Elephas maximus indicus: one gene and its partner. The protein of the gene in region 1 purifies or fractionates together with the protein of each later gene. This does not show direct contact. Links are inferred from orthologs where the notes say so. Each region holds a gene or a part of one and is shown in the gene's direction. Other genes may lie near its edges. The genes, in order: SNAP25 and STX12.

Evidence for each region.
Region 2: the proteins of SNAP25 (region 1) and STX12 purify together in Homo sapiens (co-immunoprecipitation; 3 studies listed by BioGRID and IntAct, with this or other methods). This does not show direct contact. The link is inferred for Elephas maximus indicus from reciprocal best matches to the Homo sapiens genes SNAP25 and STX12.

Annotation. Positions count from the first base shown.
Region 1 is NC_064843.1:48,985,825-49,002,921, forward strand, and holds the start of SNAP25 (synaptosomal-associated protein 25), read left to right. Parts: upstream 1-8,673; 5' UTR 8,674-8,805; intron 8,806-17,097.
Region 2 is NC_064821.1:68,152,681-68,169,258, forward strand, and holds the start of STX12 (syntaxin-12), read left to right. Parts: upstream 1-10,124; 5' UTR 10,125-10,240; coding exon 10,241-10,358; intron 10,359-16,578. UniProt on the Homo sapiens protein: SNARE promoting fusion of transport vesicles with target membranes. Together with SNARE STX6, promotes movement of vesicles from endosomes to the cell membrane, and may therefore function in the endocytic recycling pathway.

The DNA of each region.
Region 1 (17,097 bases):
CCAGGCGCTCCTTGGAAACCCCATGGGACAGTTCTACTCTGCTCTATAGGGTCGCTATGAGTCAGAATCGACTCGATGGCAACGAGTTTGGTGTTTTATTTGGACCTGACTTACAAGGTTCCCAACCTTACAGATAAGGAAGACCGCCTTCCTGCAGGCCCAGAAACCTTATGATGTTTTGGCACCTAGAAGAAAAATGAACTCACCCAAATCTGCGGGTACTGTAGGTAAAATCTGGTGACAAGCTCTTGGCTTGACTTTCTGGCCCTGAGGGGCTCTTACAAGTTTAATCTGAAGTTCCTTATGAAAACTCCCAGCAAAGCAATTTTGAAAGGGATAAATTACCATTCTTATTGTACCTATGTAAATACTAATGAACAGCCGTGTTTTAGATCAAGAAAAACTTTGCTTTGAGATTGCCTTTTGATTGAGAGGACAGTGACCATACAGAGAAATTTTTTGTTTCAATAGGAAATTATAGCAAGCCCTTGTAGGCTATCAGATTTTGGGTTTTGTCCATTGTCTTTGAGAAACCACAGACAACTAATGAGTTTGCTTTCTAATTGCAGATTAGACTCGTTTTTGTTACATGGTTTATGTTGTTCTCTATCTATCTATATATAATCAATTAGCCAAAAATAAAATTTGGAAATATGACAGAGATTAAAACTGAAGGTCGTCAAACTATTGACTAAACTGCTACCAAATCAGGTTTCATTGACAAATGGAGCATTAATTGGCTGTTCTATAAAAGCCATGGTACCCATAGTTGTTAAAATTGGTTTAAACTATATAAAACACACACACACACACACACACACACATATATATATATAAACCAGAATAAACCCATAAAACCGATTGACGTCAAGTCAATTCCAACTCATAGCGACCCTATAGGACAGAGTAGAACTGCTCCATGTGGTTTCCAAGGAGTTCCTGAAGGGTTCATACTGCCCACCTTTGGGTTAACAGCTGTAGCTCTTAACCACTACGCCACCAGGGTTTCCATATATATATATAAAGGTTACAAATGATGTTAGGCAAGACGGCTCTATTAATAGTCTAGATAATGCTATACTCTGAAATAGCACAGATAAGGATAATTGCATTATAGAATAGCTTAGCTCTTGATCATTTGATCATTTACCTGCTTCCCAAGAAAGAGGTTGTGCTTTGGTGAAAGCAAACTGTTGTGTATATATATCCATGGCATCTAAGTGAAAATATATTGAGATACAATTTTAGCAGAAGCTCCTGTTGGAGATACAATGCATGCTGGAGATGCCCCTTATGCATCTTCCTGTGATTGGGGTCATGGTTAGGAAATTTGGGTTTGTGGGCCACCAGGAAACCCTGGTGGCATTGTGGTTAAGTGCTACGGCTGCTAACCAAAAGGTCAGCAGTTTGGTTTGAATCCACTAGGCGTTCCTTGGAGACTCTATGGGGCAGTTCTACTCTGTCCTACAGGGCTGCTATGAGTTGGAATCAACTGGATGGCAACGGGTTTTTGGGGGGACCAGACAAGCCTTTCAGACTACTGGCTTATGCATTCTCCTTATTTTAGTCTTTTCTGTTAAGCTACTAAGTTGCTTAGCGTCTGGGGGCTTAAAAGCTTTCAAGCAGCCATCTAAGGTACAGCAAATGGTCTCCTTTCGACTAGAGGAACAACAAAGTGAAAAAGCTAAGGAACCAATAGAAATAATATGTTTCACAAAAAGGTACCCCATAAAGCAGTACCTATGAGACCTGAAAAAACCCGGCCAAAACTTAGCGATCAAAGATTCTAACTGAATCACAACCAGAAGCAGGGAAATGTGAAAGAGGAAAATTAATAACAGACATCACACTTTGATTTTATGGTTTTTCTTATCCAAATAAAACCAAATATTAACCTAAAAAGTCTAACCCAAACTGCAAAAGGATTGATTTGGTTCCCACCAGAAACTGCTCTACAGCAATGTAAAATTCTTCTCCTGCTAGACAAGAATGGTCACAACAAAACCATTTCTTCCTGATTTAATGAAAAAGATTTAGGCTCCTCTACTTTAAATCTCAAAGTCCATGGCTGCAGGTGGGTGGAGAGCCAAAATTTTTAGCCGCCAAGCCGGGGGTCACCTAGTAACCTGACAAACTGATCTCAGTAAAAGAGGGAAAGCAGGGTTCAGTCAATCATGTTAAGATTAGCCAATGGTTGGTCTTCTATTCTTCTCCCTCCTCTCTTCATAAGATTCATTGTAACTAGCCTACTGTGAGTCATTTGCTTTTTTTTTTTTTTTTTGGAATCAGGATGATCTCCCTATATACACAGAGAATGACTGCTTGGAATAAACCTTATGATTCAATTTCTTTGAGTAACACGATTATAAGCTTGGGTTTCAGGGTTCAAATCCCAGCAATACTATTTATTTAGCTGTGTCCTTGTTCAGGCTGGAAACCCTGGTGCTATAGTGGTTAAGTGCTACAGCTGCTAACCAAAAGGCTGGCAGTTCAAGTCCACCAGGCGCTCCTTGGAAACTATTGGGCAGTTCTACTCTGTCCTATAGGAGACTCGATGGCAATGGGTTTGGGGTATTTTGTTGTTGTTGTTCAGGTTATTTAACTTCTCTAACCCTTAAGTCTCTCCTCTGTTTTACCTAGGTCCCAATATATTCTAATGCCAAGTATATGGCAGGCACTCAATGTTAAGTAAATGAATGAAACAATACAGATGACAAAACTAGGGCCCAAAGAAATTAAATGATATGTATCTAGCTAACGGAGAAATTAACCCTTCCTATTTTACCCATACCCATTGCCATCGATTTGTTTCTGACTCGTACTGACCCTATATGACAGGGTAGAACTGCCCCAATTGGATTTCCAAGGCTGTAAATCTTTATGGAAGCAGGTTGCCACATCTTTCTCCCATGGAAGTAGAGTTACATGTCAGTAATTAGAGAAAGAAAGTTAGTCTCATCATATCCATAGATTTTTTTCATTTAACCAATACTGTTGTGAAATAAAATGATAAGTTTTGCTTTATGCGAACAGAGAGTGTTCTCTTGCCCATGACACTAAAGGTCATCTTATTAAATGTTAGAAACCCATGTGCTGTGTAAGCATAGATAGAGATATATATAATTTTTAAGCTTAGTTATGCCTAAAATTGTAACTAGCCTTTAGAAGCAGCTTGTTCAGTTTCACGTAATTGTATTTAGGTGATCAGGCTCATTGGGACTTGTTCTTTCAGAAAATAATAGAAGATAAATGAACACGGCCCATTTCTACAACTCCAGAGGTCTTAAAATCATGGCTCACTGATTGTCTTAGGAGATTTCAATTTTTCTATGCTTTATAATGTTTGAGTACATACTGCTCTCTTATAAGATTTATGTATTCTGATATAATTGTCCACCAATCAAAATGGTCTCATTCAAAGTCCTTGATGAAACTTTCTGTAAATACCCTGATTCTTAATTCCTCAGGGCACTGATTTACTCGGTAATGACGTGCTGCCCGACTTTGAAGTTGTCCAATAAACCTGCGTAACAATCTGTTAATGGTGTTCTGAGTTGTTTATTTTTGACACTGTAAATACTTGACAAGTGCCAGAGATAATTCTAAGTGCTTCACAGTTTCTCTGTAAGTTGGGTACATTTATAATCCCCCATTTTTCCTATGAGAAAACTGAGGTACAGAGAGGTTACAGAGCTAATAAGATTCTCAAAAGATTTGCTAAAGGAGTATTGTGATCCCTTTCAAATAGCCTTTGTGAAGTTTGCTAATTTTAACCCCCATTTTCCCCTTCCCCTCTGCTCCTGATTACCCTAAGACTCCTCCTTGCCACTTGACTATAAGATGTGTCTCAGCACTGGAGAGGGCCCCAAGTTGCATTCAAGTATAAAAGAGAGCCCGCAATTTATTATGGAACAGGAGTGTGGAAGCACCCAGCCTCTGGCTGGTGAGCAGTGCCTTCCCTTCTTTCCTACAATGCTGTTCTTAGTAAAGAACAAAGTGTTATTTAAATTCTGGGTGTACAGTCTTATTTTTCCTCAACATGGCAAGCCAGAAACAGAAACGAATATTTCTGGTTCTGTTTCTACTTCTCACAAGATATATTCCTACCTCAGAGGCTTCAGGGAATAAGGACAGCCTGAGGAGTTTAGATCTGCAGCATTTAAGCTTTCCCAAGGTATTACTAGGTCACTCCCTATAAGTGGGTGGGGACTGGAGTAAGGGCTAGAAGAACATATAAAGAGAAAGTGGCAAACAAGCCATATGGAAAGCAAACCAAAGAATAAAAATAGTTCATTGTTAAATGGAAACCCTGGTGGTATAGTTGTTAAGAGCTACCGCTGCCTACCAAAAGGTCTGAAGTTCAAATCTACCAGGTACTCCTTGGAAACCCTGTCCTATAGGGTACCTACAATTCAGGATTGACTCGATGGCAACAGGTTTGGCTTTTTTTTTTTTTTGATCTATTGAGTTGTATATTCTTGTGCCCAAATCTTGTGCCCTGTCATGGACTGAATTGTGTCCCCCAAAATATCTGTCAACTTGGCTGGGTCATGATTCCCTTGTATGATTGTATGATTGTCCACCATTTTGTTTTCTGATGTGATTTCCGTATATGTTGTAAATCCTATCACTATGATGCAATAAAATGGATTAGCAGCAATTATACTGATGAGGTCTACAGGATTAGGTAGTGTCTTAAGCCAATCTGTTTTGAGATATAAAAGAGAGAAGCCAGCAGAGAGACATGGGGACTTCATACCACGAAGAAAGCAGTACTGGGAGCAGAGTGCATCCTTTGCACCTGAGGTTCCTGTGTTAAGATGCCCCCAGACCAAGGGAAGACTGATGACAAGGACCTTCCTCTAGAGCTCTAGAGCTGACAGAGAGAGGAAGCCTTCCTCTGGAGCCAAAGCCCTGAATTCGGACTTCAAGCTTACTGGACTGCGAGAGAATAAACTTCTCTTTGTTAAAGCCATCCACTTGTGGTATGTCTGTTATAGCAGCACTAGATGACTAAGATATGCCCTAACAGTCTTTTGAGACATTGTCACAGGGTTTCAAACATGCTCCAAAGGAGGACGTTGTAAGAGTAGGGGAGATTCTGAGTTTGGCTTGTTCTAAAACTACTTCCAAGTTGACTTTGGAAGATCATATGGCATTCTATAAAAGTTTTTATTACTATTATTCCTTATGAGGTTGTAATTATTGAGTCATCTATGAATCTCGCCCCTGACCTCAGAGAATACAAGGTAAACTCCTTGGATCTGGAGCTATTGCGAACCAGAATACTTTTGGGGCATGTTGTACCAGAAAAGCCTTTCAGAGACTGAATTAGCATAGTGTAAATATCCATCCAGCTGAGCAGGTAATTTCCTCACTTCTCATCAAATGAGATCCTAAGCATTAGTTACTCTATGTGTTGGTTCTTTGCAGAAATAACTCACAGGCAGCTGAATCATTTTGGAGCAAATTTTCCATCACCTTCCTTCGTTGTGTGCTTCAGGCCATTATAGACCCTGAGTAAAATAAATCTGCTGGTTGTGGCAAGGTTGACTTTTATTTTGTTTTTGTTTGTTTCATTTTGTTCTGTTTTTTTTTTTTTTTTTTAATCCTCAAGCCATGAGAAAAGCAGAGGGGGAAATCTCATTCTTATATTCCAAAAGCATTTAGCACTATCTATGGGGCTCTGTCCTACAGGGTCACTATGAGTCGGAATACACTTGATGGCAACGGATCAAACCCACTGCCCTCTAGTTGATTTCAATTCATAGCGACCTTATAGAAAAAAAAAATTTTTTTTTTTTTTTTAGAATTGCTCCATAGGGTTTCCAAGGCTATATAAATCTTTAAGGAGGCAGATTGCCACATCTTTCTCCCAGGAATGGCTGGTGGGTGGGTTCAAACTGCCAACCGTTTGGTTAGCGGCCTAGCGCTTTAACCACTGCACAGCTATGGCCCCTTAGCACTACCTAGTCATCTTTGAAGAAGCTCTGGCTGCTAACTGAAAGGTCAGAGGTTCAAACTCACCAGCTGCGCTGTGGGAGAAAGCTGTGGCAATTTGCTTCCATAAGAAACACTATGGGGCAGTTCTACTCTGTCCTATAGAGTCACTATGAGTCGGAATTCGCTCAGAGGAAATGGGTTTGGCTTGGGTTTGGTCATCCTTCGTAGACTTTCAGCTCCAAATAAAGCTAAATGTCCAATATTTATGTTACTCAAATTAGATTCTGTTGTCTTTCCCAGAATAAGATGAATCTTTCAAAGGACATCATTTTTGACCTAAACACAGGGGAAAGGAAAGTGCTGTGACCACCACAAGATATCTTTTAGGACCTGTGATGTTTTCTGTGATGTCTTGAATCAACCTGGCTCTCTCTTCTTATCTATCATTTTTAAAGATGTCAGTGTAGGACATCAGCTGTTGAAAGCTCAGACGCCACGCCAGCCCTCCCCTGGTGACTTCCACTCAGCTTCTGTCTGTAGGATGAGCCTCCATCACTGATGTGATTCCTTTATACTTTTTTTTTTTTTTGATCTGGAAATTCCCCCACCTCCTCTTTTCCTTCACAAAACTTTCTGCCTGAATGACTTCTAGTCTGAAGGCCAGACACATATTTTGTTTCTCCCCACTGCAGGATTTTCTTCCCCGAACTTCCACATGCTGTCTTTTTGTGTGTGTGCCACATTTTGGAAACAATCCTAACTGTAACAGCTTTTGCTATGCCAGCACTTCCCCCACCCTAGCCCACCCTGCTTTGTAATAAAAGTAAGAGCCAGAGCTAGGACACTTTCAACAGTATATAAGTAAGAACTTTACAGATTTTCTTGTTGTTTATGGTATAGGAATTTTAAATGTTTACTATATAATTAAGTAAACAAATTTCAGTAGCATGGTTTTTTTTTGTTTTTTAGAAATCCAGCTTTAATAAAAATCCAAATGACATTTGTTAATTGTGATTGCAAAGAGTAATATTTCAAAATACCCTTTGAGTCAGAGAAGCTTTAAGAAACAATGACTTAGAGGCGTCCTTTATTAAAGTCTGACAGCTCTGCTCCCTCTAAACGCAGTCCCTTTACAGCTCTACTTTCCTCCTCTCCTGAGCTCTCTCTCTCCAATCAAGCACAATTAAAAGCCTTATTATTGCTTAAGCTTGGCTCTCAAACCAGCTGGTGGCTGTTTGGGGGAGGGGGGGATGAGGGGGTAGAGGGGCTCCTTGTGTGTTGTTTTCCTAGACCCAGTTCTGAAAGGTTTCTTCCAAAAAAGGCAAGGATTTTCCATCGTCTAAGAGGCCATCAAGTTTTAACGTTGCAAGGCACGACTTCTAATCACATCCCTCCCGGAAAAGTACAAACAGTTCCTCAGCTGAGGTCCCCCACCTCCCACGCGCTCCCCAGCTCGCCCTCCCCGCGGAGAGCCCCGCGACAGCCTCCCCAACACCTGTGAATCATCCAGAGGCTGCCACCGCGGAACTGTTTGCATAACCCCCCCCCCAGCACCTAATGCACGAGGGAAGACCGTTAGGATTATTGCTTTATGATTATTATTTTTAATCTTTTATGACCAGCAAAACTAGCCTTTCTCGCCCATGCCCTGTTTGAGCATCAGCGGGACCCCAACCCAGGGTTTGCGCACCGAATGAACCACCAGAATTTTGTCGTGTCCAAGCCACCCTTGAACCTGCAGCCTTCTACTTTTCTCTGGAGGTCTGGGCGGTTCTATGATTCTGTAAGGCATATACGTGCCCTACTGGATAAAAAAAGATACTCAACGTCAAACCCCAGACTCCTATTGCAAATTCAACCGAAAACAGCATCATCTATGTTGCCCTCCGCAACTGCAAGCCTGGAGCCCTAGCAAGACGACGCTGGTTGGGCTAACTGCCTTTCCTCCGCGTCCCCAAGTCGTTTGATATATCACGGCGATAATTGCTCTGACGTACTTTAAAATAACGTCTGCGACTCTCTCTCCAACTGACCACATTAACGAGAACTCCAAGCCCTCGATGCTGCTTTGATAAAACAGAGATCACTCATAAAAATAGCAACCCACGTAGGCTGGCCATATATGGAACTAGACAGGGTTGACAGGGATGCCCCCTTTGAACCCTCTTCTTTGGCGAAAACAAATCTCTGCTGAAATCTACCCCCCAACACCCCTCCTCCATCACCATCACCGCCCCCCGTCCTCTGTCTTCCCCTCCCCCTTCCACTGTGACTCAACCAATGATTCAACTCAGCAGGGAAAAAAATATATATATATATATATATATATATGTATAGGGTTTGGGTTATACGTATATATATATGCACATACTTATATATGTATAAAAAATTAAATACACATATACGTATATATACATATACATACACATATATATGTATATACACATATATATAGTAGCGAGATAAATGTGTTTGCTCAAGACCGACTGTTAAAATGGAGTCAGAAGAATCGCCCCATTCGGCTGTTTATAAAAGACTTAAAATTCAAAGGTTTGCAGTGAAGCGTTCAGGGAACTGAGTCAAGCGCTCCGCTCCTCCGGCTCCTCCCCTCCCACCTCCAGCCTCTGTCCTCCCTCCGCCCTCCCCCAGCACACTTCCTCCCCGCCCCTCCAGGAGATGGCTATTAAAAGCTGCTGACGTCAAAAGGGACAGCCATCTTTGATGAGGGCAGAGCTCACATTGCATTGAAGACGAAACCTCGGGGAGGTCAGGTGCTGTCTTTCCTTCCCTTCCTGCTCGGCCGCTCCTCCACACTTGAAACCTGCAGGGTCCCGGCGAATACCATCCTCTGGAGAAGCCAAGGTAAGGAGCCCCTCCTTGGGCCATGGTTCTGGATCTCGGTGACTGCAAACTCAGAGGGGACCACAGCTGGGCAGACCAAGTGGGCTTCGGTAAATACAAGTATTTGTGCACCTAGGGTGCGGTATTCTGTGTGTGCGCGTCTGGCTAGACTCCCGCCTGGGGCTTTATAAAGTATTTTCGAGGTGAGCTGTTAGGGGGGGAGGGATGAATGGGGACACTGCAGATGGAGCGATGGGAGGAAGCGCAAGGATACGTACCAAATAATAACTTACTCTTTTCAAACTGTAGTGGGACCTTCTCTCTTCCATTTTGCGATGCAGTTTTCAGTGGTGTTTAGGATGCTGTTTTCTTTTTCTGTAGACCAAAACAAACAGACAAAAAAATCTGTCCACCTAACCCTATTATGATCGTTGTGATTAGAAAGCAGTTATCCAGTGAAGAATTAAGGACAAGGCAGGGTGGGCGCTGGAGAGGCGAAAAGACAAGGAGAGAGTTCCCGCCCCGGGCCAGCTGAGCTGCGGCAGCGACAGCAGCCTCCATGCCCCCACGGACTTGATTTATACCGCCTGCTCCACGTCAACTGCAGGCTGGCGGGAGGCGGGCGGGTCATGCTGGGTGGGAGGGCTCTGTGGAGGGCTGGCGGCAGTGGGCTCGCCTCGGGGACTGCGGAGGCCCGCACTCAGAACCCTGGACAGCGTACCCAGGGCCCGCGCTGGCTCCCGCGACCTTCCAGCACCACGGACAGCGATCCGGCCGCAGCGCCGCAGCTACTTGCGGCACAGGTGCCTGGCCAGGGCGAGATGCGCCAGGATTGGACGCCAAATTGCCTCTTGGAGACAGAGATACCTAATAGAGCAGGCGTAGTAGGTAAAAAAAAAATCGTGCCTACAGGGACTCCTTTGCAGGTAATTACTTGCTCCCTCCGCACCTCCTGCACAGCTTAAAAAAAAAAAAAAAAGTCTACTTGTGGAACCATTCTGTATGCCCTCTTCACCTCCTTTTAGATAGGAAATGAACACATTTTTAAAATTTGTATTTATTCTCCAATTATATAATCAAGGTTTCGTTTGTGTTTGTTTTTAACATAGAGTAGGCGTTGCACTGTCTATGAAACTTCGGTAGGCATGAGTGTAGTATACATAAAGATGCCAACACTATCGTTTATAGGAGTGAATACATCTCTCTGTATTTCTATTTGGTGAAAAAAAAAAAAAAACGGGTTGCTGAACTAAACAGAATCAACTACTTTAAGAATTAATCCTTCTCCCTCTGTCTTTTCCCTCACTCTTATAATTATGTGTGAATACAAGCACACACCCACACAAATACATCTCTGATAAATATTTACGAGTCCCACAGTCTATAGATTTAACCTCTTTGCTAATGGTTTTAGAGTTAGGGGAAGTATTTCCTGTGAATACTGGCTATCTCAGGCCAATAGTTTGTGATTTTGACAACATTAAGAGTGGTCTTCTTAGGTGGATCCAACTGTGTCCTTCAGCGTACTGCAGGTGAAAGAACCACAGTGTTAGACTGAAAGTAGACTCTGACCTTAAGATCTACTGCAATTTCTTTTATGGCACTGCGGGATTTTGCTGAGGTGGTGATAAGTATTCTGACCGTTTTCTACTCTGAGGCTTGGAGCCCCTGAGCCAGCAAAAATCATTACAGAGAGCTTTCTTTCCATTTGATATAGATAAAATTGGCATGAAATGACCAGGAACAAAATAGTAGTATTATAATAGAGTCATTGGTAAATAAGAGTAACTGTGTCGTATGTAAAAAATATATACAACGCATTAAGGAAACGCCATCATGACCCTCTTAAAAGCCTCACAATAAGATCTTGGAATGTTTTTAGCCAGGGTAACACTAATTATTTGTATACTAGGTGTTAAAATGCCCTATCCACATAGAAGGACTTTTGCTCCCAGCTATTTGTTTATTTTCTAGTGTTTATTTTTGTTTTTATAGATAACCATGAATTTCCAAATATGTATATATTGATCTGTTATTGTGCATGGATGTAAAATTATTTGGGTGGAAATGTATTCAAGAGTATGTAATTGTGTGGAAGAAGTTTATAACTCTGCAATCTGCAGAAGAAATAAACAATTGGGTTTTAGTGATGGGAGGAAGGAGAAAAAAAAGATGGGCAGGAGTCTTAAAAAATGCTTTGACTTCATGCTTCATGTCCAGACAGCTCTCTGCGTAGTTGCATCAAATGAAAGCCTAACGCTGCCGGAAATACATCCTTGGACATTAGTAATTACTGCTGGGTTTATTTGCTAGTGGAAGAGGGGGGAAGGGCGGTAGAGGACTGCAGTGAAGCTGGCAAAGGGCACAGAGCTGGGAGGAAGAGGAGATGTGCAAAATTATGGAGCGAATTCTAGGACATCTTCCTGAAAAATTAAAGAAAAAACATCACTGAGGCATGAATTTAACATTGATATTATTGACAAGCTTCAGAAGAAAAAAAAATCCAGATCTTTTCCATTTTAGGTTTCAAATTTTAAAAATCCAGGGCAATATGGTAAGAAGAGGCAGGAGCAGATGGACACAAGGACCAGCCAGGAAGCACTGACGCAGACCCTCTGACGGTAACACCTGCCTGCCATTGGCATTTTCTGCATTACCACTGTGGCATTCGGATTACAAAACAATTTATAATCTTCTTAACCTCCCATGGCACCACCTCCTAAAAATTCACAATTTTATTTTTACTTTGCTGAACCTGCGCAACCACATATGTGCACACACATACACACACAACACAAACTGACCCATAATTAGCTTGTCTAAAGACATTTCCTGAATTCCAAATGTTAACCCCAGAGTATCAACCAGAAGATTGATATTTCTGCCAGTGGCACCTCTCTGCGTAGTAACTGGCCTTCAGCAAAACATGTAGGTTTTGAAGGATCTGTAAAAGTGAGAGAAATAATTTGAGAAACAGGTTGAGAGAGGAAACAAGAAGCAGAAAAATAGATAAATTTGCTTTTTTGAGGCTGCAGTATGAATAAACTAGCTTTTTCACATTACAGAAACTGCTTTACAGTTTTACAACGGTAATAAAATTGGTGTTTTTAACCTCGGCACCAGATACATTTCTGCAGCGTCATCCCTTGTCACCAGGGGCCAATCTGATAGGAAGATATTGATCAATCAGTGAGCACCAGATACATAAATGAACCCTACCAGGGCTAGAAAGTCTCATGGTTATATGGCTTTTGGCCTCAAGAAGTTTAGCATCTAGCGATCTTAATAAAAATGAATAAATAATACCAAAATGAAAACTCAATAAAACAGTAGAATAATAATCATGAGGGAGTGTGTAATTAGTTGCCATGTGAAAAAAAACAAAATTTAGGACTGTAAATTCTGAGGAGGACTAGATTGAGCTGAAAGAGGAGGCAGGACTGGAGTTGGCTCTTGGAGGTCGCCGGCGCTGGGTTGGGGGGGGATCTGCTAAGTAAAAATTACAGCATAAGCAGAACGTCAAGTTAGTCAAGCCCACCCTAAAAATGCCCCTCCATTCGGTTGGAGTGGAGAACTTTCATCAGGGAGTATGCTGGAAGAAGGGTTGGAGCCTGCTGTGGAAGGCTTTGCCTGCCAAGCTGAGGATTTCTTCCTTTATCCTCTAAAGTTTATTTCTGAGTAAAAGGTGATATTTCAAAGTTAACAATGTCGTTTTTGGTATCCAGGAATTGGTATTGACTGAGTGGATTAAATTTGTGCTCTTCCAGAAATAGAGGGGAGCAGATTGGTATCATAAGGGATTTTTAATTTAAAAAATCAATTAATCAATCCTCATTGAGGCACCTTTTAAAATCATACTTTGAAATGCTTAGACCTACAAGGACATATAAGCCCTGCCCAGAAGTTAATTTTAAGTTTCAATTTTCCATGATTGACTGGAGCAAAATATTCAAGATGAGCACCTGTCAGAGATTGAAAAGCAGGTTAGGAATCTGTTGATGAGGTCACCAGAAGGCACACTTGAATGACAAAGGCCATGCAGAACACTGTCTTGGACCCCCTGCGTACTCTGCTTTGTCAAAACACCGCTAGACTGATGAAAAAAGATGCCATTTTTCTGCGCATGTTTTGGGCAGTATGACAAATAGAACCAGCCCCAAGTGACTAAATATGAAAGAAAAAGGAGATGCTATGGTAAAATTTAGAAAACTGGTGTGAGGTGAGGTGAGCAATATATAGTATTTCTTTCTCTACCCATCCTGTTGACTTTTGCTGATTACCCTCACTGGAGAGCTAACCCAAGACCTAAACTGTACCCATCTCCTTTTTAATATTATGGTTATGGCCATGGCGGAGCTTCAAATTCCAAATGCTGGCAAAACTGCCGAACCAAAATAGTCCATGGCCTCATGTGGAGGAAGAAATGACAGTTGCAGACGCGGACTTTATTGCTATTTTAATCCTGATGATGGAGTGTAAAGGGACTATGCCTATCTGTGCTTTACAACACTGGCAAGGGAGGCAAAACCATGTTGTTTTGATTTCCAAGCTGACTACCCAGGGAAATTTGGAGGCAGTGACGTATACTTTAGAGGAGGTTAGGCTGGTGATTATTAAACTGAGTCCAGAGGGCCCCCTACCCCTCAGGTAAGAGGAAAGAGGAGATGCGATATGGTATTGAGGAAGCAGGGCATGGAAGCAGAGAAACACTTGAAATTAGTCTTTCATGGGAAAGTGGGGGGAGACCAAAGAAATTTCCAGAGAGCCCCGGCTGCCACCGAGAACTCTTCAGAATTGCTCATTCCTATAACAATAATAAGGAGCCCACCAGCCGTGCCATAGGAGAAAGATGTGGCAGTCTCCTCCCCTAAAGATTTATAGCCTTGAAAACTCTGTGGGGGCAGTTGCACTCTGTCCCATAGGGTCACTAGGAGTCGGAATTGACTCGGCAGCAATGGGGAAAAAAAAATGAGAATAACAATAGTAGCTTCTCTTTTCTGCATAATTGTCTTTACAGGGATCTCAAAGCATTTCACCTAATATTAGACAAAAGTCCAAGCAGTTTCTGACCTATTTCTAAATAAATGGTGCAAAACATAATTCATATGAGTTTAGGTATAGTATTAGGTAACATTTAGAAAGCCAAAAATCTGATTTAGAAGGGTAGAGATGCCCCAAAGAGAATAGGCTTGTGGGTGAGAAAAGTGAGCCAGCTGCCCTGAAAGCTTCGCCTGTACTACCCAGTGCCCAGTGCCACCTGTACTAGCTCATTGAATTCTTGTATCAACCCTATAGCTCAAAAAAAACGAAAACCAAACCCAGTGCCGTCGAGTCGATTCTGACTCATAGCAATCCTATAGGACAGAGCAGAACTGCCCCATAAAGTTTCCAAGGAGCGCCTGGCAGATTTGAACTGCCGACCCTTTGGTTAGCAGCCATAGCACTTAACCACTACGCCACAAGGGTTTCCACCCTATAATTATTTACATTTTACAGGTGAATAACTTGAAACGGAGTTAGACTAAGTAGCTTGCCTAAAGCCATGGAACAGAGGTGGGATTTAAGTGCAGGCAGTCTGACTCCAGAGAGTTAACTGTAGTACACACTATGCTACCTCTATCATTTCCACCTGCTTCATATTGGTCCAAGAAGGCAAGAGAATTACATGGGTTTTGGTTTTTGTTTGTTTGTTTTGTTTGTCACAATGTCTTTTCCCCCTCGGTGGGCAGCATAGGGCAATGGCAAGGATGCTGGTCAGGGAGCCAGGAGACCCAGGTATATCCCTGAAACAACTGCTTGCAATATCCTGTTTTAGAATCAGACCATCTTTGAATAAATCAGTCAAATACTGTTGAACTCAGTTTTTTCATCTGCAGAATGACCGAAGTGGACTAATTTTGTCCACTCTCCCTGCCAACAAAACCAGTGCTGAAACCCCAAGCAATCAATGGCTCTGGGTCAAGTGACCACATGGTCTCAGCTGGCACTGCCTTAATCATGCTTCAGGAACTGACCTGACCCCACATCCTAAGATTAATCGCATCCGCGGCCTCCCCACCGCACTCCCGATCTCTCTCCTCTCTCTCTCTCCCTTTCCTCTCTTTCTCTTTTCTTTTTGTTCTATAATTGCTTTGACATCATCTTTCTGAAGCCTTTCCAGTCAGACTGAAATTCTGTCTCTTTCCTCAAAGCCCTGGTCTGAATCATCACTTCTCAATCTGATTTATGGCTGTGAGGCACAGGTTATTCCCTAAAACCTGCCTAAACTTTTTGTAATTATTTTTTTTAGTCTATTGACTTTTTTTCTCTCTCTCTCTCTCTTCTATACCCTTTTTTGATCGTTTCCTATTTCTAGCTTGAGGCGATATATTAGCTGCTATTTCCTGACTCCATTTGCTGTTTGCCACTTAGAAAAGAGAAAACAGAAGGTTTCATAGAATCTGTGAGCTCGTGAATACTTAAAAAGTAGCATTTCCATATGACCTGAATCACGTGATACTGGGAGCCAGCTCAAAAACTAATCAGATTGAGAGAATGAAGGGGTAAAATACTATTTCAAGAAAGCGTTAAGGACAAGGAACAAGAAGAGGAAGCTTCAAAACACACAAAATTAAACATTCAGAGACTAAAAAAATGTACCACCACAGCAGCTGGTGGTACAATATTTAATAATTAAATTCATAGTCACATGTGAATTAAATTGAAAAGTCACAGAAAAGGCAGGTTCCCCTCGTTCCAACCCCATTCCTATTGCAGATTTCAGCACCTCACCACCAAGAAAAAGCACTGTATTAAAAGAGGGAAGACTTAACTTGTTTTCTTATTGCTGACTCACAGAGGTTAACCTCAGGAGTGATTAACTGATGGTAAGGACAAAACTGTATCCTCAAAAAGAGATGGGAGAAAATCCCCTTTATGGATTAGTGTTTGCTTTTAAATGCTTAGCAACCATTCTGGGGAAACTCAGTCAAAGTGAATTGTGATTCCTGCTCAGGACTGATGTTGAGTGACAGCTGCACTCGGTTTATGGCTTGCTTTCCTTGATCCTGGAAAAGCATATTTGATCCTCTTAGCTAGTAGAGGAAACCGATTCTAATTCGTGTGAAGAAGGAAGTAAAACAACTCATGTATCCTTTCTTCTGCTTTGGGGTTTTGTTGTTGTTTGTTTGATTGGATTCCTACTACCCATAAAAAAAAAAAAATTTTTTTTTTTTTTTTTTTTTTCTACCCATAGTTGGTAAATTCTCATGTCTTGAATTGAGACTGTTTGCACTTGACCTGGGAGGCCAGACATGGTAACCCTGCTAAGCCACCAGGTCTGGCTTTCCCATATGATCCATTTTGAAAGCCGAAGAACAAGGTTATTTTCCTCCTAAAGTAGCAGGTCTACAAAATGACCGTCCGGTCACAGCTTCCCCATACTTCTTATATCCAAATGACACTAGTGTCAGATTTTGAACTTGGGAAATGACTTTCCATGCCTGCAGGCTTGAATCAGTGTTTTCTGCCATTTACTGATCATGGCAAGTAAGGCAATGAGAGCCTCTGAGGTGCCCTCCTGAGGCCAGAGATCAGCCCTGCACTCCTGCCTCATGTAGCAGCTGAGCTCTCAGAAACTTGCAAGTTGGACAGAGTCTATTTTCCATGGAGATTTTCAAACTGAATTGCTGCTCTCCATTATTCATATTCATCTTTTGTGCAGTTTCAAAGAATAAAGACCAACAAATTGCAAAACAGTGAATTTCTTAAATTGTCCTGCTGTTAGTCAGAGGTTGGTCTGACAGCTACTCATAGGTAAATAACACTGTCTTCTTCATAGTTAGACCAAAAGTAGAGGAAAATAAATGCCAGAAAGCTGATGGGAAGAACACTGATAAATGTTTTCAATATGCCATAGTCCTGTTCAGTGGATTTAAAAAAAAAAAATTAATGGGAAATTCTGTTATAACTTCAGTAAAACACTAAAAAACAAGATATTGTTTCTGATTTATACCTGGGAAATTGCCGAGTATCTTTTTTTTCCAATTTCAAGATGACCGTCCATGTATTTTTCATGGATTTTTCAAACGTATGTCAGCTATTCTTTGTTAATTAATTTACTTAACAAATATTTACTGAACACCTGCCATGTGCCTGGAAAACATTTATGCTGGTTACTGAGGACACAGCAGTAAATAAAATGGGCATATTCCTACCCTCTATGCAATTTTATGCAATATTCTGGGTATCCCTTTTTGAGGTAGTAAGATGCATTATTATTTTAGAAAACATATTTCAAATAGGATCCCTTGTGGAGTTAAGAAAGTGACTAAA
Region 2 (16,578 bases), on another chromosome or scaffold:
CTTATGACCTGGCCTCAGAAGTCACATAACCTCACTTCCATGGTACTCTATTGGTCAAAGCAGTGAGAAGCATCAAGGGCAGGGGACATAAATCCCTTCTCTTGATGGGAGGGTAACAAAGTAGAACATGTGGGATGGAAGCTATTGTGGTGGCCATCATTAGACAGTCTATTCTGCCACACATGGCACAGAGGCAAGACAGCAAGGCAGAAGCGGCAATATCTTTTATGAAAGCTTCAGAAGTCGGACTTGGTGATGTCTGCAATATCCTGTTGGTTACAGAGGTCAAATCACCTGCACTATTCAATGTGGGAGGAGATCACACAGGCACATTAATACCAGGAGGTGAGAATCAGTGGGGCCTCTTGGAGACTGGTTGCCACATTTACCTTTGTTGTTATTGTTGTTGTTAGGTGCTGTCGAGTCGGTTCTCACTCATAGCAACCCTATGCACAACAGAACGAAACACTGCCCGGTCCTGAGCCATCCTTACAATTGTTGTTATGCTTGAGCTTATTGTTGCAGCCACTGTGTCAATCCACCTCGCTGAGGGTCTTCCTCTTTTCCACTGACCCTGTACTCTGCCAAGCATGATGTCCTTCTCCAGGGATCGATCTCTCCTGACAGCGTGTCCAAAGTATGTAAGACGCAGTCTCGCCATCCTTGCCTCTAAGGAGCATTCTGGCCGCACCTCTTCCACGACAGATTTGTTCATTCTTTTGGCAGTCCATGGTATATTCAATATTCTTCGCCAACACCACAATTCAAAGGCGTCAACTCTTCTTCAGTCTTCCTTATTCATTGTCCAGCTTTCACACGCATATGATGTGATTGAAAATACCATGGCTTGGATCAGGTGCACCTTAGTCTTCAGGGTGACATCTTTGCTCTTCAACACTGTGAAGAGGTCCTTTGCAGCAGATTTACCCAATGCAATGCGTCTTTTGATTTCTTGACTGCTGCTTCCATGGCTGTTGATTGTGGATCCAAGTAAAACGAAATCCTTGACTGCTTCAGTCTTTTCTCCGTTTATCATGATGTTGCTCATTGGTCCAGTTGTGAGGATTTTTGTTTTCTTTATGTTGAGGTGTAATCCCTACTGAAGGCTGTGGTCTTTGATCTTCAATAATAAGTGCTTCAAGTCCTCTTCACTTTCAGCAAGCAAGGTTGTGTCATCTGCATAACACAGGTTGTTAATGAGTCTTCCTCCAATCCTGATGCCCCGTTCTTCATATGGTCCAGCTTCTCAGATTATTTGTTCAGCATACAGATTAAATAGGTATGGTGAAAGAATACAACCCTGATGCACACCTTTCCTGACTTTAAACCAATCAGTATCCCCTTGTTCTGTCCGAACAACTGCCTCTTGATCTATGTAAAGGTTCCTCATGAGCATAATTAAGTGTTCTGGAATTCCCATTCTTCGCAGTGTTATCCATAGTTTGTTATGAACCACACAGTCGAATGCCTTTGCATAGGACCTATGTTTTTAAGTAACTAACCACTGCGAACTTCTGGATTTTGAAGGCAGGAATAAAAAGTGTCATTTTGGGGGAAAGTACTGCATATTTCTTAGCTGTTACTTAAATCAATGACTTCTTTGCTTACCTGTGCTTGCCAGGTTGCCCTTGCAGCAGATTATCAACTCTACTTGAAAAATAAGATGGTGTCATGTGGTGGTAGAGGTCTTTAGAACATTTCTTGGCACATAGTACAGTTTCCATTTTCTAAGCTATTGTCATCCATGACTTACACAGAATCAACCTTTTCTGGTTCCTGAGAGATAAGACAGAGTAGAACTTCCCCATAGAGTTTCCAAGGAGCACCTGGTGGATTCAAACTGCTGATCTTTTGGTTAGCAGCCATAGCTCTTAATCACTATACCACCAGGGTTTCTGAAAAGGTGATTGCCATGGATTGAATTATGTCCCCCCAAAACTGTGTGTATCAACTTTGTTAGGCCATGATGCCCAGTATTCTGTGGACGTCCTTCATTTTGTGATGTAGTTTTATGTTAAAAGGATTAGGGTGGGATTGTAATACCACCCTTACCCAGGCCAGATCCATGATCCAGTGTAAACGGAGTTTTCCTGGGGTGTGGCCTGCGCCACCTTTTATCTCTCAAGAGATAAAAGGGAAGGGAAGCAGGCAGAGAGTTGGGGACCTCATACCACCAAGAAAGCAGTGCCAGGAGCAGAGCACTTCCTTTGGACCAGGGGTCTCTGCAACTGAGAAGCTCCTCGACCATGGGAAGATTGAGGACAAGGACTTTCCTCCAGAGCCAATAGAGAGAGAGCCTTCCCCTGGAGCTGACACTCTGAATTTGGACTTTTAGCCTTACTTTACTGTGGGGAAATAAATTGTTCTTTGTTAAAGCCATCCACTTGTGGTATTTCTGTTATAGCAGTTTATCACTGTACCACTGTCTAGGTAACTAAGACAGTGGTACAGTGATAAATTAGAATGAACAGGTACATTCACTTGGTTTTTGCTTCCAAAGTTACTTCTATCCCAAGATAACTTCTGGCCACCAGAACGTTTATGTAATCTACAACTTCTGCACCTTTTTTTTTTTTTCAACTCCAGATTACCTACCTCATGCACGCCACTTTACTGCACTGATAGCTAGAATGGCATTTTTTTTTTTTAGTTAGGTTTATTAAATATAATTTGCATACAGTAAAGTTATTCTTTTTAGTGTACAGATCGATGAGTTTTGGCAAATGTATGCAGTTGCCTAATCACCCACACAATCAAGATATGCAACATTACCATTACCCCAAAAAGTTCCCTTGTATCCTTTGTAGTTGATACCCTTAGCCCAACTCCAGCTTCAGACAACCATTAATCTCATTTCTGTCTCTTCTTTGCCTATTCCAGAATGTCATATAAATGGAGTGGTACAATATGTAGCCTTCTGGGCCTGGCTACTTTCACTTAGCATAACACTTTTGAGATTCAGCCACGTGTTTGCATATATCAGTGGTTCATCCCATGCTTCAGTACTTTGTTCCTTTTTATAGCTGAATAGTTTTCTATTGTATGGATGTACCATAATTTGTTTATCTTTTCAGTAGCTGATGGACATTTGAGTTGTTTCCAGTTTTGGGTTATTATAAACAAAGTAGCCTTAAATGTTTGCACACAGGTGTTTGTATGGACATGTGTAGTAAAACCTCTGAAAGCCAGAACCTGTGTAAAGCAGAAACCTGTTAGAGAGGGAAAACTAAAATATTTTCCACTAAAACAAGCGATAGAAAAGTGGTAAGACTGCACCCTGTCGAAGTCAGAAAACTTGTGAGATGTGGAAAAACAGGGCAGTCAGGTCGAGTTCCCTGCTCTCAGAGGTTTCACTGTATTTTTATTTCTCTTGGGTAAATACCTAGGAGTAGGATTGCTGAATTATTGGGTTGTAAAATAAGTTTATGTTTAACTTTATAAGAAACTGCCAGACTTCTGAAGTGGCAAGTACCGTTTTGCATTCCCACCAGCAATGTATGATAGACCGCTAATTTTAGTGCAGTCTTTTTTGCAATCTAAGTGAATTCCTCCACTGACCCCCCTCCCCTACGATTCAGGAAGCTCATCATACTGGTGATAAGAATGCTTTATGTTTAAAATACGAAACTTATTTATTGAAGTGCACACAGAAAAGGGCACACTTCACAAGTGTCTGGCGATGGATTTTCACAAAGTAAACACATCCGTATAACCACCACCTAGATAAAGAAACCAGCATTCTAGAAGCCCACCTCATGTGTCCATTCCTAGTCATTCCTTCTTTTCTCAAAGGTACAATTCTGACTTTTAATAATATAGCTTAATTTTTCCCAGGTTTGAACTTAATAAAAATGGAATGACGTAGCATGTACTTATTTTGTGTCTGGCTTCTTTGGCTACACATTATGTTTGGGAGAGGCCATCCACATTATTCACATCGTGGTAGGTTATTTATTATTTATTTATTTTGCTCTGTAGTTCCACAATTTACCCATCCTGCTGTTGATGGAAATTTGGGTGGTTTCCACTTTGGAATTATTAAAAATAAGTGCTGCTATGACCTTATTCATAATAACCCCAAACTGGAAATAGCCCAAATATCCATCAATAAGAGAACGAATAATCAAATTGTTGTATATTTATGTAATGAAATACTACTCAGCAATAAAAAGGACCAAACCACAGATAGATGCAACATCATGGATAAATCTCAAAAACAGCTTGTTAAGTGAAACAAGCCAAACACTAAATAATACATACAGTACGATTCCATTTCTGTAATCCAAGAATACACAAAGTTAATTTGTAGTGATAAAAATCAGAAGATGATTTCTGAGCACGAGGGGAACCGTTTGGAAAGAAGCACGATTTGAGGGAATTTTCTGGGGTGATGACGGGAAAGCTCTATATCTTTGTTTGGGCAGCAGCTACCTGAGTGTATACAAGTATCAAAACTCATTGAATTGAACACTTATTATCTGTGCATTGTATTCTATGTCAGTCATAACTCAATAAAAATTAAAGACAGGAAAAACGTTCTCAGTCCTAGACATTTAGAAAATTTTTTTTCTTATTTTTATTGTGGTTTAAGTGAAAGTTCACTAATCAAGTCAGTCTGTCATACAAAAATGTATATACACCTTGCTATATATTCCTAGTTGCTCTCCCCCTAATGAGACAGCACACTTCTTCTCTCCACTCTCTATTTCGTGTCCATCTGGTCAGATTCTCACCCCCTCTGCCCTCCTGTCTCCATTCCAGACAGGAGATGCGAACATAGTCTCATGTGTCTACTTGATCCGAGAAGCTCACTTCTCACCAGTATCATTTTCTATCTGATAAAAAAAAAAAAATGATAGTCCAGTCCAATTCCTGTCTGAAGAGTTGGCTTTGGAAATGGTTCCTGTCTTGGGCTAATAGAAGGTCTGGGGACCATGACCTCCGGGGTCCTTCTAGTCTCAGTCAGACCATTAAGTCTGGTCTTTTTGCAAGAATTTTAGGTCTGCATCCCACTGCTCTCGTGCTCCTTCAGGGGTTCTTTGTTCTGTTCCCTGTCAGGGCAGTCATCAGCTGTAGCCAGGCATCATCTAGTTCTTCAGGTCTCAGGCTGATGTAGTCACTGGTTTATGTGGCCCTTTCTGTCTCTTGGGCTCATAAATACCTTGTGTCTGGTGTTCTTCATTCCTGTTTGCTCCAGGTGGATTGAGACCAATTGATATATCTTAGATGCCCGCTTGCTGGTGTTTAAGACCCCAGACGCCACTCTCCGAAGTGGGATGCAGACTGTCTTCTTAACAGATTTCATTATGCCCGTTGACCTAGATGTCCCCTGAAACCATGGTCCCCAAACCCCCGCCCCTGCTACGCTGGCCTTCGAAGTGTTCAGTTTATTCAGGAAACTGCTTTTGGTTTAGTCCAGTTGCCTAAGACATTTTTTAAATGCTGCTATGAGCGTTCTTATACCTGGTTTTTGGAACACATATGTATGGATTTCTGTTGCATATATAATTAGAAGTAGACTTTCTGGGTCATAGGTTATGTATGAGTCCTGGCTCTGCCACTTAACAACTGTATGACCTTGGGCAAATACCCATAATCTCTAGAGAATACCAGTTTCCTTGTCTGTACCAAGGAGCTAATCTTGCCTTCCTGAGTGTCAACTTGAAAAACTGTTTTTGTTAATTAACACAAGGACAGAGTGCTGAGAAACCTTATTTTCTAAAATCAGATTTTCAGAAAATTTGCTGTTGGAAATTATATAAGAATGGAACATTCTACTCTTGCTTTGAGAACCTGGGTTACTTTGACAGAGAGAAGCAGTTTCAATTTCCAACCCAGGTGCAGAGCTTCAGATAAGGGATTTCCAGATACAACATTCCACATTTATCTTCACATTGTAGTTTCCAAGGAAACAGGATTCCCAAGCCTTTGAGTTAGTTCAGGCCTGATGTCAATCCTATTATACATAGCCTGGGTGTGCTTTGAGGCTATCAAAATACTGCTTCTTTTACGTTTTACCTACCCTCCATCTTTCCCTCAAAGCCTAGAATAACTAACTCTGTCTCTTCCTGTGCTTGATGAGATGTTCCAGGATCCACTTGTTTTACAGTCTCCCTGGCTGCAGCAAGTTAATAAGCTTAATTTTGTCAGACCACAGATGGTCTTTACCTTGGGGATTAGCAATAATGTATGTAAAATGTGTGCACATTGCTTGGCGCCTAATAGGTATTTAAGAAATGGTAGTTATTTTTATTATTTATGTATGAGTTCAATAAATATTTGGCATGTATAAGGCACAAATTTACTGCTATGAAAGATGAACAGATGGAAACTACTTTTATTTCAAATGGAGGAAAAAAACAACTGTAACTTCAATTCCTAGGCGATAAATACCTTTACTGAACTTTACTTTGTTGTTGTTAGGTGCCGTGGAGTCAATTCCGACTCACAGCGACACTATGTACAACAGAAGGAAGACTGCCTAACCCTGCGCCATCCTCATGGTCGTTATGTTTGAGCCCATTGTTGCAGCTACTGTGTCAATTCATCTTGTTGAGGGTCTTCTGCTTTTTCGACGACCCTCTACTTTACCCTTCTCCAGGGACTAATCCCTCCTGATAACACATCCAAAGTATGTAAGACAAAGTCTTGTCATCCTTGCTTCTAAGGAGCATTCTGGCTGTACTCCTTCCGAGACAGACTTGTTTGTTCTTTTGGCAGTCCGTGGTATATTCAACATCCTTTGCCAAACCACAATTCAAAGGCATGGATTCTTCTCTGGTCTCCCTTATTCATCGTCCAGCTTTCGCATGCATATGAGGTGATTGAAAACACCATGCTTTGGGTCAGGAGCACCTTAGTCCTCAAAATGACATCTTTGCTTTTTTAACACTTGAAAGAGGTCTTTTGCAGCAGATTTATCCAGTGCAGTGATGTGTTGTTTGATTTCTTGAGTGCTGCTTCCAAGGCTGTTGATGGTGTATCCAAGTAAAATGAAATCCTTAGCAACGCCAATCTTTTCTCCATTTATCGTGATGCTGCTTATTGTTCAATTGTGAGGATTTTTGTTTTCTTTATATTGAGGTGTAAGTCATACTGAACACTGTAGTCTTTGATCTTCATCAGTAAGTACTTCAAGTCCTCTTCACTTTCAGCAAGCAAGGTTGTGTCATCTGCATAATGCAGGTTGTTAATGAGTCTCCAATCCTGATGCCCTGTTCCTCTTCATATAGTCCAGCTTCTTGGATTATTTGCTCAGCATACAGATTGAATAGGTATGGTGAAGGAATACAACCCTGATGCACACCTTTCCTGACTTTAAACCACACAGTATCCCCTTGTTCTGCTCCAAAGGCTGCCTCTTGGTCTATGTACAGGTTCCTCATGAGCACAATTAAGTGTTCTGGAATTCCCATTCTTTGCAACGTTATACATAATTTGTTATGATTCACACAGTCAAATGCCTTTGCATAGTCAATAAAACACAGGTAAACATCTTTCCAGTATTCTCTGCTTTCAGCCATGATCCATCTGACATCAGCAATGATACCCCTGGTTCCACGTCCTCTTCTGAATCTGGCTTGAATTTCTGGCAGTTCCCTGTTGATGTACTGCTGCAGCTGCTTTTGAATGATCTTCAGCAAAATTTTACTTGCATGTGATATTAATGATACTGTTCCATAATTTCTGCATTGGGTTGGATCATCTTTCTTGGCAATAGGCGTAAATATGGATCTCTTCCAGTTGGATGGCCAGGTAGCTGTCTTCCAAATTTCTTGAGATAGACAAGTGAGCACTTCCAGTGCTGCATCCGTTTGTTGAAACATCTCTGTTGGTATTCTGTCAATTCCTGGAGCCTTGTTTTTCACCAACGTCTTCAGTGCAGTTTGGACTTCTTCCTTCACTACCATCGGTTCTTGATCATATACCACCTCCTGAAATGATGAACGGCGACTAATTCTTTTTGGTACAGTGACTGTGTGTATTCCTTTCTTGTTCTTTTGATGGTTCCTGCATAGTTCAGTATTTTGCCCATAGAATCCTTCAATGCTGCAACTTGAGGCTTTAGTTTTTTCTTCGGTTCTTTCAGCTTGAGAAATGTCAAGCATGTTCTTCTCTTTTGGTCTTTGCACATGTCATTATAATACCTTACTTTGTCTTCTTGAGCTGCTCGTTAAAATCTCTTCAGTTCTTTGACTTCATCATTTCTTCCATTCACTTTAGCTACTCGATGTTCAAGAACAAGTTTCAGAGTCTTTTCTGATATCCATTTTGGTCTTTTCTTTCTTTCCTGTCTTTTCAGTGACCTCTTGCTTTCTTCATGCATGATGTCCCTGATGTCATGCCACAACTCGTCTGGTCTTTGGTCATTAGTGTTCAGTGCATCAAATCTATTCTTGAGATGCTCTCTAAATTCAGGTGGGATATACTCAAGGTGTATACGTTGACTCTCATGGACTTGTTCCAATTTTCTTCAGCTTCAGCTTAACTTGCATATGAACAATTGATGGTCTGTTCAGCAGTTGGCCCCTGGCCTTCTTCTGAGTGATGATATTGAGCTTTTCTGTCATCTCTTTCCACAGGTGTAGTTGATTTGATTCCTGTGTATTCCATCAGGCGGAGTCCACGTATATAGTCGCTGTTTATGTTGTTGAAAAAAGGTATTTGCAATGAAGAAGTCATTGGTCTTGCAAAATTCTATCATGTGATCTCTGGTATCATTTCCATTATTAAGATAGTACTTTTCAACTTTACTTTATACAGTGTCAAATGTAATGAAAATGTAAATGAAAACATCCTCAACAGTATTTTATGAGTAAAACGTACAATTTATATAATTTTCTGTAAGACTTGACATGAAACTATGGATTGTAAGAAATGACAGGGTTTTAATAAAACAAGAGCCCCAAATGTCATGTCCTTTTCTATGAAGAAAGAAATGTTCTCATAAATGCACTAAAGAAAAAGAGAGTCTTGCTTATAATAGCTCTGAGCCTGAATGCAGGCTCATTTACCCATTTGGGGCCCCTTCCCACATATGTAAACACAGGGAAGCAGCTTCCTCTTTCTCTGCCGTTCCCCACAGACTGCACAGCAACCTAGGGCAGGGCTGCTGGAGAACACAGGAAAGCACACTACCAGCTCCCCTTCACTCCTCCAGTGTCTTGACTCCCTCCCAAATCAAAATCCTACCCATGCCTTTCCTTTCACTGACAAAATGCAGTCTTACTGGAACATTGAGGTCTTATTCTCCAAATTACTTAAGGGAATGATTTTTACATTTTGGGACTATAGTTCTCCAAGAAATCCCCGTCTGGGATACAGATGAAGAGGCTATTTGGGAGGGGTTTACATGGAGAATGAATTTGAGAATAAGGGGATAAACTTTAGGGCAATAGGTGATGATGGAGTTAGCTTAGTGTACAGATTTTGCAGTCAAACTTCAGTAAAGAGAATCTCTATGATCTTAATTTTCTCATCTGTAAAAAGGAAAATAATAATGCTTAGTTTGCCTGGTTACTTCAAGATTTTAAAAAATTTGTCCATTATCTATTCTGAAGATTAAAAATATAGATAGAACATCGTGACTTGCCGTGAAAAAACTTATCAACAAGTGAATTGCAGTGAGGATTCACACATAGTAGATGCTCAATAAATATTATTTTATTGTTTGGAATTACAAGAGGGGTGGAGGGAAAAATGAAAATCGTTTGTGAACCGTGAAAGTGCCCCGCAAATACTACCAAAGCCCTAGAGTTCAGAAGTGGAGCGAGCAATTTCAGGGGCTTGGTTTCGAGGTTATCGAATTTTCCCATATTTGGGCCTGAATTCTCAGAATAGAACATAAAAGGATGTCAGGGCTGAGATCATCTGGTACAATTTTATGCAAATCGAAAATTCTTGCCGCCTGTCACTGTGTCTTTGCAAGAAACAACACCGCCACCCAAGTAGCCGAGTCCCAATTATGTGACGTCAGGAGCCCGCATCCCCAAGTTTCCGCGCGTCTAGTCTAAACTCTCCCCAGGCTTTGGTTTCAGCGGCGCCCGCGCGCTGCGGGGCGGGGCGGGGCGGGGCAGGGCGGACGCGTGCGCGCTGCATGGGGGCGGAGCTAGTGCGCACGCAGCTTCAGCCCCTTCCACGCCCTTTCTGTGCCCGGTTTCCCCGTCAGGTTGCCGGTCCCGTCTGACAGCTGCTTCCGGTTGGAGCACCGCGCAGGGCGAGCCGGTCTCAGCTCCTTATCATGTCCTACGGCCCCTTACACATGTACCGGAACCCGGGGCCCTCAGGGCCCCCACTCCGGGACTTCAACAGCATCATCCAGACATGCAGCGGCAACATCCAGCGGATCAGCCAAGCCAGTGAGACAGGGGACTGGGCTGGGGGGCGGGGGCCGTCCCGGGACAGGCCTGGTGAGGCTGCCGGGACGCGGAACCCAACCGGCTCTGAGACCAAAGCCACACCTGAGGCTGTCTTGGACTCTCCACGCTGGGGCCGCCGGGCTGCCATCCCCTAATCTGTCAGGCCCGACTCCCCGAGGGTCCCGAGCCGCTGCTGAAGCTCGAGTTTCTTCTCAGGAGTTCTGTCGCCACGGTGCTGAGGCCTCAACAGCACAGCTAACAGCCCTAGGGTGGGGGTGTGTGTGTGTGTCCTGGAGAGCAGTGAATGCGTGGACTTGGCGCAGTGGTCAGCCGAGTTTTTCCTGTCACCCGCTTTCCCCCTACCCACCTCGCTTTCTTCTTGGGCCAGTTTGGATCGGAGGTTGTTTACTGATTTAGGCTTTAGGTTTACATTCTGCTCAGCCACTGGCTCCTAGGAAATCAGCAACTTTCAATTAAAGGAAGTGGAGAGTGTATGTTTTCGGGTGACTTATACATAATTCTTGTAAATGAGTTGAGGGATCAGATGTGATGATTAGTATTTGAGTGAGATGACTTCTGTTTTAATGAAGAGGATTCACCAAAAACGTTTCAATTTACATTATTATTATTTTTTCGTAACAAAGGATTTGGGTATATTTTTGGATTTCAAGCATATGAGGCTTTTGTTCTTCTTAATATTTAGCTACTCTTGAACAAATCTGATGCACAGAGAAGTCCAGGGACTTGGCGACAATCACATAGCAAGTAAGACTTGGTAGGTAGTGGTGAAATTCAGAATGTCATTGTTTGTCCTAAAACTCCCTCCTCACCATTAGGGTCTGAGTGAGGCTGTAGCTGAATGAGTCAAATACAACCTGTATCTTGGGCCTGAAAATCAGCTCAGAGCTTTGTAAACAGGAGGTGGGCAGCAGCAACTTTACTTGGAACAAATGGTGATCATTATCGTCGCTTATGATTGTGTTTTTTTGAGCTTGGCTGTACTCTGTTAATAGGTAGAACTAGTTGGTCCTGTACTACAATTTTGTTCTATATTTTGAAGAATAATCTATCACTTTGCTTTTCAATTTAAATGGTGATTGTGGAACTTGAGAGGCAGAAAGTTTCTGATGGGAAGGGATTGAGACTGGCTGATTTGGAAGTGGAAAGAAGAATATAATCCTGTTAAACCCAGAATTAAAAAAAAAAAAAAAGATTAATATGACCACTGGTTAGAAAGCTCCAATTTTCTCTTGTGAGGGAGCAGTAATGCAGGTTAGATCAGAAAATTCTGGTTCAAGGCAGAAAGCTGTTGTTGAGGCTAAATCGAATTTTAATGTCTGTGTATTTGTGAAATATTCATTCAACATATATTTGTTTGAGTATCAGGCTATATAGAAAATAGAGGAACCGAAACAAAATTCTTTCCCCAGGGAGCCTGTGCAGTTCATAAACAACTGTGAAAATGGCATGGGGGTGGTGTCTGACCTCCCCATCCAACTTCACAAGGCAGGGAGGAGATTCATTGTCAGCATCAACAGCTCACGGCTGATTCATGTAAGGTGGACGTCAGACATAACTCCTCTCCAACTTTTTACCAATTCTGACACCACCCCTCCCATGGCATTTTCTACTTCTCTGCTGAGTTTGATAATTCACTGCAATGGCCATACAGAACTCACAGTTACGGAGTTTATTAGGGAAGTAACAGGTTACAACTGAGGCTGAGGAACGCTCAGGATACAGCTGTTCGATCAGGACAGCCTCTTCTCGGTTGTGCAGCAGGCAGGCCTCTCTCTGGCCCATGGGCTCACCCCCCGGCCCGGGGCCTCTTGGGCTGGCCAGACCTCTGCCCTGCTTGGGCAAGCGTTACAAAGCTCTTTAGCTCTCCTGGTAAGTGCCCGGAGGCAACCAACTCGACTAGTAAGCCTCGGCTGAAGGCGTTCAGCTCTGGCTCCGTGGGTCAGCGAACCTAGCTCTACTGACAAGTGTCCGGAGCCACTCCAACCCACCAGCAAGCCTCTTACCTGAGGGTGCTCAGATTTCTCGCTCAGTGGGTCAACACACCCACAACATAGTCTCCTGCTGGCCTCCTGGTTCTGCTGCCTCTGCTGCCGCTGTTTCTATGCTGCCACCCTCTTCGGTGTTACAGCTCTGTCTCTTGGTCTCCTGGTTCTAGGAGGTTCCCAGTGCAGGGACCCAGCATCCAAAGGACACTCTCTGCTCCTGTCTCTTCTTGGTGGTAGTCAGATTCCCCCTCTGCTCTGGAATTGGCTCTCTTTTAAGCTTAGCAGGGTGGCAAAACTGACCAATCCCCTCATTAGTGTCCATACACCTTATTTGCATGGTCCTACCCAATCATTGGAGCCCTGGTGGTGCAGTGGTTAAGAGTTCGGCTGCTAACCAAAAGGTTAGCAGTTCAAATCCACCAGCTCTTCCTTGGAAACTCTATACTGGAGTTCTACTCTGTCCTAAAGAGTCACTATGAGTTAGAGTCAAGTCAATGGCAGTAGATTGGGGACCCAATCATTGTGTGGGAGTCACAAAGACTATGGCTAGAAGGGCCATATTAAGTACTTCACTGCACCACAACAACCAAAATGTAAGGTTGAAAGGAATCAGTGCTATAGAAGAGGTACAAATAACATTATGTGGGTATTCAGGAGAGGGAGACCATTTTCACTTGAGAGGAATCAGGGAAGGCATTTGAGCTTGGTTGGAAAGATGGTGGTAAGGGTTTGGATTTTTGAAGGTAAAGAGGAAAGAGTATTCCAGAAAGAGGGAATAAAATGAGGAACAGCATGGTAGTGGGAAGGCAGGGGGTGTATATAGAAAAGCAGAATAATTCAATATGGCTAGAGTGATGGACTCAGGAAAGCAGTGGAAAATAGGGTTGGAAAGATGAGTTGGGGCCCAAACATGAAAGGCTTTTAGTGTTTGGGTTTAAATCCAAGTTCAAATCCAAAGGGGCTTGGATTTAATTCTTTAAGAATGTATAATTGAGTGAGATATGGAACTAACTCATAACTGGAATGAGAGATACGAGTTAGGGACTGTGAGAGTGAAAAGGAAGGGAAGGATAGGAGATATTTCCTTGGAGATAGAATTGATAAGGCTTAAATAGTCCCTGGGTGATGCAAGCAGTTAAGTGCTTAACAACTAGAAAGGTTGGTAATTGGAACCTATCCAAAGGTGGCTCAGAAGACAGGCCTGGTGATCTGCTTCCAAAAAGCCACTGCCCTAAAAACCCTATGGCGCAGTTCTGTGCTGCAGACGTGGGGTTGCTGTGAGTCGCTATGAGTCAGACTCGGCTCGACAGCAACTCACCACAGTTTTTGACTGGATAAAGCTTCAAGGGGGTCATTGGAATCAACCATGATAACACTGATAGCTAACAGTTATTGAGTTCATACTGTGTTCCAGGCTATAGGAAAGATATTTTCACTGTATTATCTGGCTTAATTTTCCAATATCGCTGTGAAATAGGTACCAATAGAATTTCCATTTTAAGGATTAAGATACAGTCCGACAGAAGTTCAATAATTGCTTAGTTCATAAATGGCAGTGCCTAAATTTGAAACCAGGTCTGTCCCTTATGACCAGCAATTAGCCTTTTTCAAATTTTTAAAATTACTATTAGAGTTCTGTAGTAGCTAACACTTAAGTATACAAGTGACTTGTTTTTCCACTCTCCAGAGGAGACTCTGAAGTGGTGGGGTTTCTACTATTCCCTTCTTGTGGTGTGTCTTGTCTCCCCGGTAGATTGTTAGCTCCTCTGAGGCAGGGAACATGACTTACTCATCTTTATATTCTCAGTACTCATCTCAGTCCCAGGCATATGGGAGACTCATTCATTCACCTATTTAACAGATATTCTTTGAGCACTGGCTATGTGCCAGGTGTTGTTCTAGGTACCGGGGTAAGAGGAATGAGAAAGATGGATAAAGCCCCTGCCCTGATAGAGGGTGTGTGTGTGTGTGTCTGTGTATGAAGCCCTGGTTGTGCGATGATTAAGTGATCAGCTGCTAACTGAAAGGATGGCAGTTTGAACCCACCCAGCGGCTCCTCAGGAGAATGATCTGGAGATCTGCTTCTGTAAAGATTACAGCCTAGAAAACCCTATAGAGTAGTTATACTCTGTTACACGGGGTCACTGTGAGTCTAAATAGACCCGACAGCACTGAACAACAATGACATACGTATATTCCCAAGTAATAAGTGCTACAAAGAAAAATAGTGTAAAGGGATGGAGAGTGAAGGGAGAGGAGGGTGGGTATGCTATTTTAGATAAGTTGGTCAAGGAGGATCTCTCTGAGGAGGTGACGTTTTCGTAGACACCTGAAGGAAGTGAGGGAAGGAGCTGTGTGAGAAGCTATTCTAGGCAGAGAGAACAGCAAGAGCAAAGACCTTGGTGTTTTCAGAGAATAGTGAGAAGGCCAGTGTGGCTCGACTGCAGTTAACGTAAGGGTGCACCCAAAAACGTGCTGCTGCTGAGTTGATTCCAACTCATAGCCGCCCTGTAGGACGGAGTACAGCTGCCCTATAGGGTTTCCAAGGAACAGCTGGTGAATTCGAACTGTCGACCTTCTGGTTAGTGTCTGAGCCCTTAACCACTGTGCCACAGGGTTCCAGAAAAAAAAGGGTGCATAGTAGGAAAAAAAGGTCAGAGAGGTAACTGGGCATCAGATCTTATATCTTGATGCTTAATAAATTATTATTGAATTGATTTGAATGAATGTGATTTTCCTGCTACCTTAGAACTCTTCCTGCCTCTTTCCCCTTATACCATGTGGTACCACATTGTATGCCATATAGTAGTATCTGGTACCTACCACATTGTATGACTCCAAACAGTACAAGATGAAATTCTTCCCTTGGAGTTGTTTGGTGAGGAAGTAGAAATTAGGAAATTGGAAGAACGACATTGCATCTACCCAGTTAAATGACTAGTGCCTATCCCTCAAACCTCTCTAAGATGTGGCTAACATACTCAAGTATACCCTCTGAATGTGAGCTCATGGGTATATCCCACACTATATAGGCCTGCAAGTACCCTTTGAAAGTTTGAGAGAATATCTGTCTTTTTTTCTAAATTGTCCAGTCACTGGCACAGGTTTGGAATTGCTGAACCCATCAGCCTGAGATACAGCAGGTCACTGTGTGGGGGTTGTTATAGGTACAGCTAAGGTTGACTGCCTGGTACAAAAGGCTGGTATCGGAATGTGTGGGGCACAGAGGAAAAATACTTGGCTTTGTCTATTGTAGAAGGGAAGGTCTGGGGAGTATTGCAAGGTCAACTATAGGGAAAAGCACAACAGCCTCAAAGTTAACTATTTTAGGAGATTCAAAAACAACATTTCTGTTCCTTACATTGATAATTTATTGATATGTTTTTGTTTCCTAAAATAACAAAAAGCAATTGAACTTCTAAAACTGATTATCATGAAATCCTGCGGATTCTTCTTTCGAAGTTATTTTCACATTTGCCCCTTGCTTTTTATTTCATTGCCACCCTCTTAAATCTTTATAATCTCAATACCTGTATGCCAACAGCATACTCTAAGCTAGTGTCTCTCATTGTACTCTTTCCCCATTCTATTTTATCCTGATAATGTGGATGAACATAGCAGTGATGTATGTCTAAAATCCCGTTTTCATTACGCCACTCGCCTCAAGAGCTGACGGTGACTTTCTGTTGTCTACTGCATCAAATTTTAACATTCCATTCTCTCTGAAATCTTAACCCACACTAGTCATACTTTGTACTCCTCCTCAGCCTTTGCTACAGGCAGGCTATTTTTCTTAATGTTCCTGGACGCTGTTTTTGCTCGAGTTCTTGCGCATCCTGTTCCTCCTGTCATTACTATCTGTCCTCTCCCTGTCTTCCTAGCTCTCTAAATTATACAGATCCTTTGAGTTGTGCTTAAATCCTTCCCCTTGTAATGAAGCCTTCCTTTGCTTTTGAAACGTAAAGGAAAGTCACAGAAGAGCATGGGCCTTAGGGTTAGCAGATCTGGATTGAGCCTCTGCTGCTGCGTGTACTGTTAACCTTGGGCAGGTTATTTTCCTTTTTTTGTCTGCTCCCTTAGCTGTAAAATGAATAGAATTGTTAAAGAGGAATGTTTGAAGTTTTCTGATATAGTGCTGGTACACACAGTAGATATGCAACAAAAGGTGATACTACCTGTTGAGCACTCCCCCGCCCCCCCCCCCCCCACCACAC